2 linked regions of the Alligator mississippiensis genome follow. The protein of the gene in region 1 purifies or fractionates together with the protein of each later gene. This does not show direct contact. Links are inferred from orthologs where the notes say so. Each region holds a gene or a part of one and is shown on either strand. Other genes may lie near its edges.

Region 1 (3,911 bases):
ACCAGCCAATTCTTTTAATACTCTCGTGTGCAAGTTATACATCCCTGCCTATTTAAAAGTGTATATTTAAATATACTTCTTCCTCTTGGTAACTAAGTGTTAACATTCTTCTCCAGTAGCAAACACATAAAATCACTTAGTTTTAGTTCGTTCCCAACACATTTAAAGAATGCCTTTTTATTGTCCTTAACCCTTTTAGTGGTAGTTTTTTCATACCTTTACCTTCCTTATAAATTGTGGCCCAAAAACTTTATAAAACCATCTAAGTTCCAACCCTCCCATCAATAAATTCAGTAACAATGCAAAGATTAACATTAAAACACTATTTTTTTGTAATATAGCACTAATAGAGGCATATCCTTAGAGGATAGCACCTGCCACTATGGTGGGTTAGGCTTTAGGCAGAAACCAAGGAGGAGATTTTGGTATCAGTTTCGAAGCACTGAACAAATTTACAAAGGGACTTAGGACTGGTGGTTCTGAATGTTGTCATTCCTCAATTTCAGGCACCAGTGCCCAAAATAGATTTCACATGCCAAAGTTAGCATGCATTGCCCAGTACAATGCACAGGGAGAGATAGATGCTTAAGAATACGCTGAGCAGGAGGGATGCTTAAGCCATTCAGATGGGATGGGGGTGGTGAGGGAAGAGGAGAAGTAGTGGCAGGCTGCAGCTGAAAGTTGCCCAGCCCCCATGCAGTTCTTCCTTGCTTAGCTTCAGCACACAGATGCAGGCATAGGCAAAGCTCTAAGACTTTGTGGACAAGATCCAGTGGCTCCACTGACCAGATCTGGCTCATGGCCATTTGTTGCCCATCCCTGGGTGAAATCATGGTTTCAGTGCTGTCAAAGGCAAAATTCCCACTGACTTCAGAGACCAAGACTAAGTCTTAGATATCTTTTGCACAGTTTCAAAAAGCAATTCAAAAGATACAAAATGCTGGCTACCATTTCCAGATATCAGATACACATTGAACAAAAAAAAAACAAACAAACACAACAGAGCAGTCCTTCACTAATTAATTTTACCATAGACAAAGCAGTTAGAAAGAGTGGAGCTTTTTACAGCATCCTCTTTATATACTCTCCTAGGCTACCACATCTGTCAACGCAGCTTTCTTTGCATCACAGGCTGCTGCCCCCATATATCAACAAAGAGACTGACATGTTGGATCATTTCTTGCTATTATATAATCATTGTTAGTTGATATCATGCAGGTGGAGGTCAATGCACAGTACTTCCCATTCCCCACCCCAACCTACCGCAAATTACACTGGCCTCATGCTGATGAAATTCCACTGGCTTTGGTACAAATCAGGAAGGGCTGCACAGGTGCGACAGCGGCATCAGAGCTAGTCTCCTCCAGTTTCTCCTATCATTATTACCATGGTAACACAGTATACCAAGTTTTTTTGGTGGGATCTCTCTTTTTTGGCATAACTGCTGTACTTGAACCAAGAAAGCTCAGAATGACAAGAATGTTGGCTTCCTCCCAAGTACAGCACACGAAAGAATATTCTACTCTTTTTCAGTTATAAATTCCTTAGCGACAGTAAATAGCAAGACCATTTGTGAAAGTCCTATTTCATTACATTTTCAGGAGCAGCCAAGCAACAGCCAAAAGATCCCCCCCCGAAGTATTACTGATGCTGTACTAAGATGCCAGGAAAACAGCATTTATCATCATGCCCTGACAATACCACTGTTAGACCAAACTGTTGACTTAATATTGTAGCAGAAGACAACTGTGTATCAACTGACTCTATGTCCAAGACAGTGTTCGTTGCACCCTCTAGCCGTTAACAATCCCAACAACTAAGAAGCGTCCACTTGAATTTTAAAATCCTCCACTGGAAATTTCACTGAGCTTTAGGCTATAAATTAAGCTGGTGCCTGGCAATAGCCCCAAAACAATCCAATGGCTGGTTTTTCCATGCATCATAAAACTGCATTGATTCCTTTTAAAATAAGCAATAGTCTCTTTTCATTCTTTCAGAGGGAGAAAGAACCCCAAATCTGTAACAGTTATTATTATTATTATTATTAAAGGAATACTAAAAAGGAAGAATAAGGACAAGGGGTTGAAATACTGGAGGGATCTTTGGCAAGTCGGCAGGATGCAAAGCCCTGGTTCTTAAAGAAAAGGTTGCCTGAAGTTAGGCTCATTTATGGGCCTAACTAACTGGCTTTAGTTTTGCTCCCTATTCTGGAAAATATACTCCGAGTACCTCGACACAGCCGTCCTCGCATTCCCAACCTTTTGATTCCATCCACCTAAACCCGTGTATCCCTAGAGCAAAAAAAATTCCCAGAGCATATCCCTAAATTATTTTATTTTATTTTTGCCCCCAAGATTTTTGTTAGTTTAGACAGGGAAAAAATATGGCCAGGTACATCCTCGCCTACATTCGCTTGCCGGGAGAGGATTCAGGGCTGCACGACTGAAGGGACGTCTGTGCAAACCTGCCTGGACGTGGATGTGTTTTTGTAAAAAAAACAACCACTGCCCCCTCAGAGCTGACGGGAGCCCGTCACAAGAAAATAAATGCAAGCGGGCAGGGGGCTCCCTGCAGCGAGGGAAGTCCCGGCTCGCCTGAGGTGCCGGGGCGCGGGGCAGGAGCAGCAGCACGAGAAGCGGCCCCGGGCCGGCAGCGTCGTGCGGGGCAGCCGCGGGGCCCGCACTCACCCCCCCCGCCCGCACAGAACAATGGGGCGGGCGAAGCCCCCAGCTCAGCCCCGCGTCCCCCCTGCCCGGCCCCGGCCCCGGCCCCGGCCTCGGTTACCGCTGCTTCCGCGTCCTCCTGGCCGCCAGAGCCGGGCTCGGCGCTCGCTCCCTCCGTCGCCATCTTCCCGCTGTAACGGCCCCGGCGCGGAGCCGAGTGGCAGCCGCCGCCGCCGCCGCCGCAGCCCGGCGCTTAACCCCGTCGCTGCCGGCGGGCGCGGGCGGGGCCGGGTGGGACGGGGCGGGGCTGGCAGGCGGGCGGGGCCGGTGGCAGCCCGGGGCTCCCCAGCGGCCGCCTGCCCGCGCCGCCGTGAGCTGCGGGGCCCCGCGGGGTTTGCCGGGCGCGGGGGCCGGGGAGCCGCCCTCGCCCCCGGGCTGCCGCAGCGCTCGCGGCTCGAGCCAGGGGTTTCCGACAGGAATCCGCAGCCCCGCGGAGCTGCCGGGCCGGGCCCTGCCGCGGGGCAGCGCCTCTATTGTTTCTCCGCAGTCCGACCCCCCCAAGAGCCGGGCTTTTCAGAGGATGCGCCAGTCATGGGGGTGCCTCGGCTCTCACGAGGAGCCGGCACCTAAGGGATCAAAAGGCGCCTGGATGCGGGCCCTGCCCTGCCCTGCCTAGGCAGGGGCGGCTGACACGTGGCTGCGGGGCTGGGCTGGGCCTTGGCACCACAGGCGTCTCACAGGGTTGAGAAGCGCTGGATGAGGATGCATGTAAGTCCTTTAAAAAAACCCAGCAGCATCTCCGCCTTCTCCATCCGCTCCAAACCTCTGAGTATCTGATGTGGCTGCGGGAAGGAGCCCTGCGGCACAGGTGCCCCCACCTGGGAAGACCAGGTGGGTTGCCTTTGCCATCACTGGGAGCAGGGCCAGGCCAGCCGTGAGGCAAACTAGGTGGTCATCCAGGGTGCCAAAATGAAATCCAGAACAAAACAACAGGAACGCCGTTCTGAATCACAGAAACCGAAAGCACAAAAAGCAAAGTTTTATTTTGTAATGTTCATGAGGACTGTCTTTTAATTGTACATGTAATATAGTAAATCCTATTAGAGTTTTTGCAGTATAGTTGTGTTAGGGTTAATGAAAAGTGTGAAAACCAATTAAAAATGTTTTTATTGTTTTATTGTTCATTTTGAATATCAAACAAGTACATATAAAGGTTCATTCCAGACTTCTTATTTTCCTCTGTGTTGG
Region 2 (3,911 bases), on another chromosome or scaffold:
CAGTACAGTGGCTTCAGGACATTTTTCCTATGAGCTGTGCTCTATTTGCCCCTTGTGCACAAGCTCCTTGTTAACAACCGAGTAAACTTCTTTTTAACAGCCATCTCTTTCCCCTTGGAAGCTCTCAATGAGGGGCCTGTTTTTGCTAATCACTGCTGGGAGGAAGATCAGTCACACCTAAGACAAAAATGGTTCTGTTCCCTCTCTCAGGAATGCCCTGGGTTTCCTTCTTTAAGGGGTCTTGGGTAACAGCCCACCCTGTGAAAATGTTTGCAGGGTTTTAAAAGCCCAGGGCTCCAGGTTAGTCACCTGGAACGTAGAAAGCCAGTCCCCTGTTGAGCACAGAACAAGTCCCTTTAGTGAAACGAACATAAAGCTAGAAACACTCTTGTCAGTGAGTTGAAGAGGTCAGTTGTTAGTTCGTGACTAAATACACAGAAGAGAACAGGTCTGATGAGGAAGAAGACATCCATCCTTAAGCGACTGGGGTTTTTTCAGAGTGGAAAAGCATACTTCAGTCTGTTTTGCCAGCAGGCTCCCCTCCTTATCATCACCTGCTGGGTGCGGAAACAATTCTTTTGTTTTCCCCACTGATCTCCCAAAAAATGTTGAGTCCTGTAGGGTTGTTGGTTGCAGCCGTGTTGATCTAAGGACGCAGGCAGACAAGGGTCTTTGGGTAGATGTGATATCTTTTATTAGACCAACTAAATAACGAGGAAAATGTGTTCTTTGCAAGAAGGGTGTTTGTGCCCAAAAGCTTGCAAGGTGCTCCCAGGGGTGTAGGTTGTAGCCGTGTTGGTCTAAGGACACAGGTAGACAAGGATCTTCGGGTAAATCTGATATCTTTTATTAGATCAACTCAAAAAAAGCGCAAAGCGTTCCTATGCACTTAAGTAATCATGGGCTTGATAGGCAGATGAGTGATGTTTGTTGCAGTATAAGTGCTAGGCAACAGATCAGGACCAGTCTCCTGTTATGCAGTTGAGAGGAGGAGGATGTGTTTATCTGATAGGCATGTAAAAGGATTATATTGTATGCAGGAGTCTCCTCATCTCTTTATGGCCTGTGTGGGGTCACTGAAGAGGTAACAGATTTCTCAGCCATGTTCTCCCGGTTGAAATCTCATGTCCCTCCTTTAAGGAACCGTTGCCTTCCTGAGCAGTGCCGTCCACGCTCCGCCAGCACAGAAACGGCTTTCTCAGCCTGTTTTCAACAGGTAGGGATAGCCCGGATTTGCCAGGCAGCCCTTGGAGTTCTGCCCATACTTTTTGTGAGCGCCGTTGCCATGATACAGAACGTAGAGCAGATGTTTATTTCAACAGAGATGTCTTTAATTCCTTCTCAACGTTTTTCTCAGGCTGCCATCGTGTGCGAATACTTCTCTGTAGGAGCCAACTGCAGCCCGGGCCCAAGAGCAGAGCCTGATTCAGAAGGAAACGGAGGGTTGGAGGTGTGTAGAGGAGAGGTCAAGACAGACAGCCAAGCCTGCTGGAAGTTTCTGAGCGCCCACGTTTGGTAGGGATGGTAAGGAGCTGAGGGAGCCTCGACCAAAATGTTTTCTGGAAAACTAGCGGCATTATAGCGGTTAATGAAAAGCAATCCCCCTTCCACTCTACTTGGGCTTCAATTTTTTTTTTCTTCCCTTCCTTCCCCCCTCCTATACCTTTCTTTCCTTAACGCAAATAATCCAGCCCTTTTCTGTGTGGTCCATTACCTGGAAGTAACCCTGTGTAACAGGCTGTGATAGGCCAGAAATGCCTTAATTGTACTGACAGCAATAGAGACAGGATGCTAAAAATGTAGGGGTAGGCGTTGCACTTTCCTCCGCCCTTCGTGGGGTACTTACTCCTGTCAGGGACTGTCAAGAGCTCTCATTCCTAGGTGCATGGTTTCCCTTTGTCTTTGTTCCCTTTCTTTTCTCTCCTTAGTGCTCCTAGTTTTCTCCCTGCTTTCTTCTTCCTTCTCTTCTCTCATTTTTCATCTCTATTTTTAACTGCTGCTGCCTCCCTCCGGGCTCATCTGCCCTTTTTTCCCCTCTAGGCTCTTATCTGCCTTGTCTTCTTCCTGCAGGAGTGGATCAGCGTTCCTACCCGCTGGATCGCAGGCAGACAACCATCTCTCGGAGAAAAGCACTGTTACACTGCTGCTCTGCTTCTGCATGTGGGTATGGGTTGGTATGTGGGAGAAATCCCACTTGGAAGTGGTGCCTTCCTGGAATGGGTGCTTTTTTAGCATAGGAATTCTGCTTCGAGCCAGCTTCCTGTTGCTGCTGCCTTATATAGAAATGTTTTATCATTCTATAAATACAGTATGTGTTTTATTAAAAAAGAAGACAGAAATGGATATGCAGGAACAAAATGCTGGAGGAATAACGGTGAGTGGCAGGGCCTCTCGCAGACTTCCTCCACCCCTTCCACTGCTGTGGTCAAGCTATTTTTGTATTCCACGAAAGAGCGCTCTGCTGAAACTTCAGGTTCCTTCTTAAAAGGAAATTGGAAGAGGGGAAGGGTCTGTTTTAAAACTAGAAAATAAAGTTGTAAGCAGGAATGAGACTATAACAATTTTAAGCTGAGAACCTCAAATCTCTAGATTTCCCATCTCTAAATTCCCATTGGATTGCATAGTACAGGTTTGGGCCTAAATTAACTAAGATTCCCAGTGAAGGATATCCTGTAAATACTGCCTTCAGTTTACAGCTGGGCATGCAATAGCTCAGAAAGGATAAGTGAATTGGCCAAGGCCATACAACAAATTAGTGGGAGAGCCAGGCACAGAAACCTGGAGCCCTGGCTTCCAATACTGTGTGTAACATCCTGTGTGCACAACCACTGCAGAAGGGAACTTAATGCAAAAAAGAAGAAAAAGACTTCTTGCGAAAAAAAAAAAAGGCCCTTGTTAATTTGGTAGCTCTTTTATTAAACCTCTACTGCATGTCACAAAAATGTTGGGATCTATCAGCTATGTTGTTAATGTAGTTTGGCACGGATTATACCGTGGACATGGGTGTCAGGAAAGGGCAATTCTGCATGCCTATGCTGAGAAACCCCATTTTGTTGTTGTGGCGCAACCTATCCATTTGTTTCCTGAAGTTTGAAGCTGAATCCTTGATGTCCTGCACTATTTGTTTGATTCGAGTTAAACTGCAATTCAAAGAAAGACGTTAGTGCATATCTACAACCAGCCTACTGAAATCATCTAGCATTAATTAAGCTTTTGTTAATGTGCTGTACCCAGAGTGGGTGTGTATTGTTGTTCCAGTCACACTCAGAGCATTCCCTCCCTACCAAGGCTGTTCAGAACATGAGACACAGATATTAATAAGATGCCTTTGGGCAGTGGCTTTATCTAGTTTCTGACCTTTTTGTAATGAATTTAATCTACAGAAGATTAGCTTAAGACAGATACTGTATTAAAATACATAATTCATGGCAGTACGGATACTCTTGTGATGAAGGTGAATAGTACTGGGTAAGTATACCATTGAACTTCTGGTCTGGTAATTCTCTTTGTCACAGGTTTAGTCACCGTACTGAATCACCCCAGTCTTTTCCCTCTCCACCTTCTTTATCTGTAATATAGCATGCCTGAATAAGGTCAATACACAGCTTTTTTCCTGCTAAAAAGACAGTCGTTTGTGACAAAGAAAACCTCTCAGGAAAAGAAAACTGAGAATTTGGCACAAGCTTATTTGCTGGAGCGGGTATAAATGCCTGTTTGTTTTATTATAGGCAGAGCTACCTAAAGCAACTTGACATCTCTTGTTTTAAACCCTGTTTTCAGTTGCCTATATCTTTGCCAAATTTGAAGCATTTGGGTTGAAATTATCCATTGTGGGTATCTGCCTCGAGCTGATATATATTTTTTATTTATTTAAGTTTCAGCTAAAATGGCTCAGCTGTTGCTCAGAGCGA

What was found.
Region 2: the proteins of CTTNBP2 (region 1) and STK26 purify together in Homo sapiens (affinity purification with mass spectrometry; 4 studies listed by BioGRID and IntAct, with this or other methods). This does not show direct contact. The link is inferred for Alligator mississippiensis from reciprocal best matches to the Homo sapiens genes CTTNBP2 and STK26.

Annotation. Positions count from the first base shown.
Region 1 is NC_081827.1:48,423,833-48,427,743, reverse strand, and holds the start of CTTNBP2 (cortactin-binding protein 2), read right to left. Parts: upstream 2,956-3,911; 5' UTR 2,848-2,955; coding exon 2,785-2,847; intron 1-2,784. UniProt on the Homo sapiens protein: Regulates the dendritic spine distribution of CTTN/cortactin in hippocampal neurons, and thus controls dendritic spinogenesis and dendritic spine maintenance.
Region 2 is NC_081831.1:81,457,892-81,461,802, reverse strand, and holds the start of STK26 (serine/threonine-protein kinase 26), read left to right. Parts: upstream 1-1,506; 5' UTR 1,507-1,521; coding exon 1,522-1,524; exon of another isoform or gene 1,525-2,070; coding exon 2,071-2,160; exon of another isoform or gene 2,161-3,140; intron 3,141-3,911. UniProt on the Homo sapiens protein: Serine/threonine-protein kinase that acts as a mediator of cell growth. Modulates apoptosis. In association with STK24 negatively regulates Golgi reorientation in polarized cell migration upon RHO activation.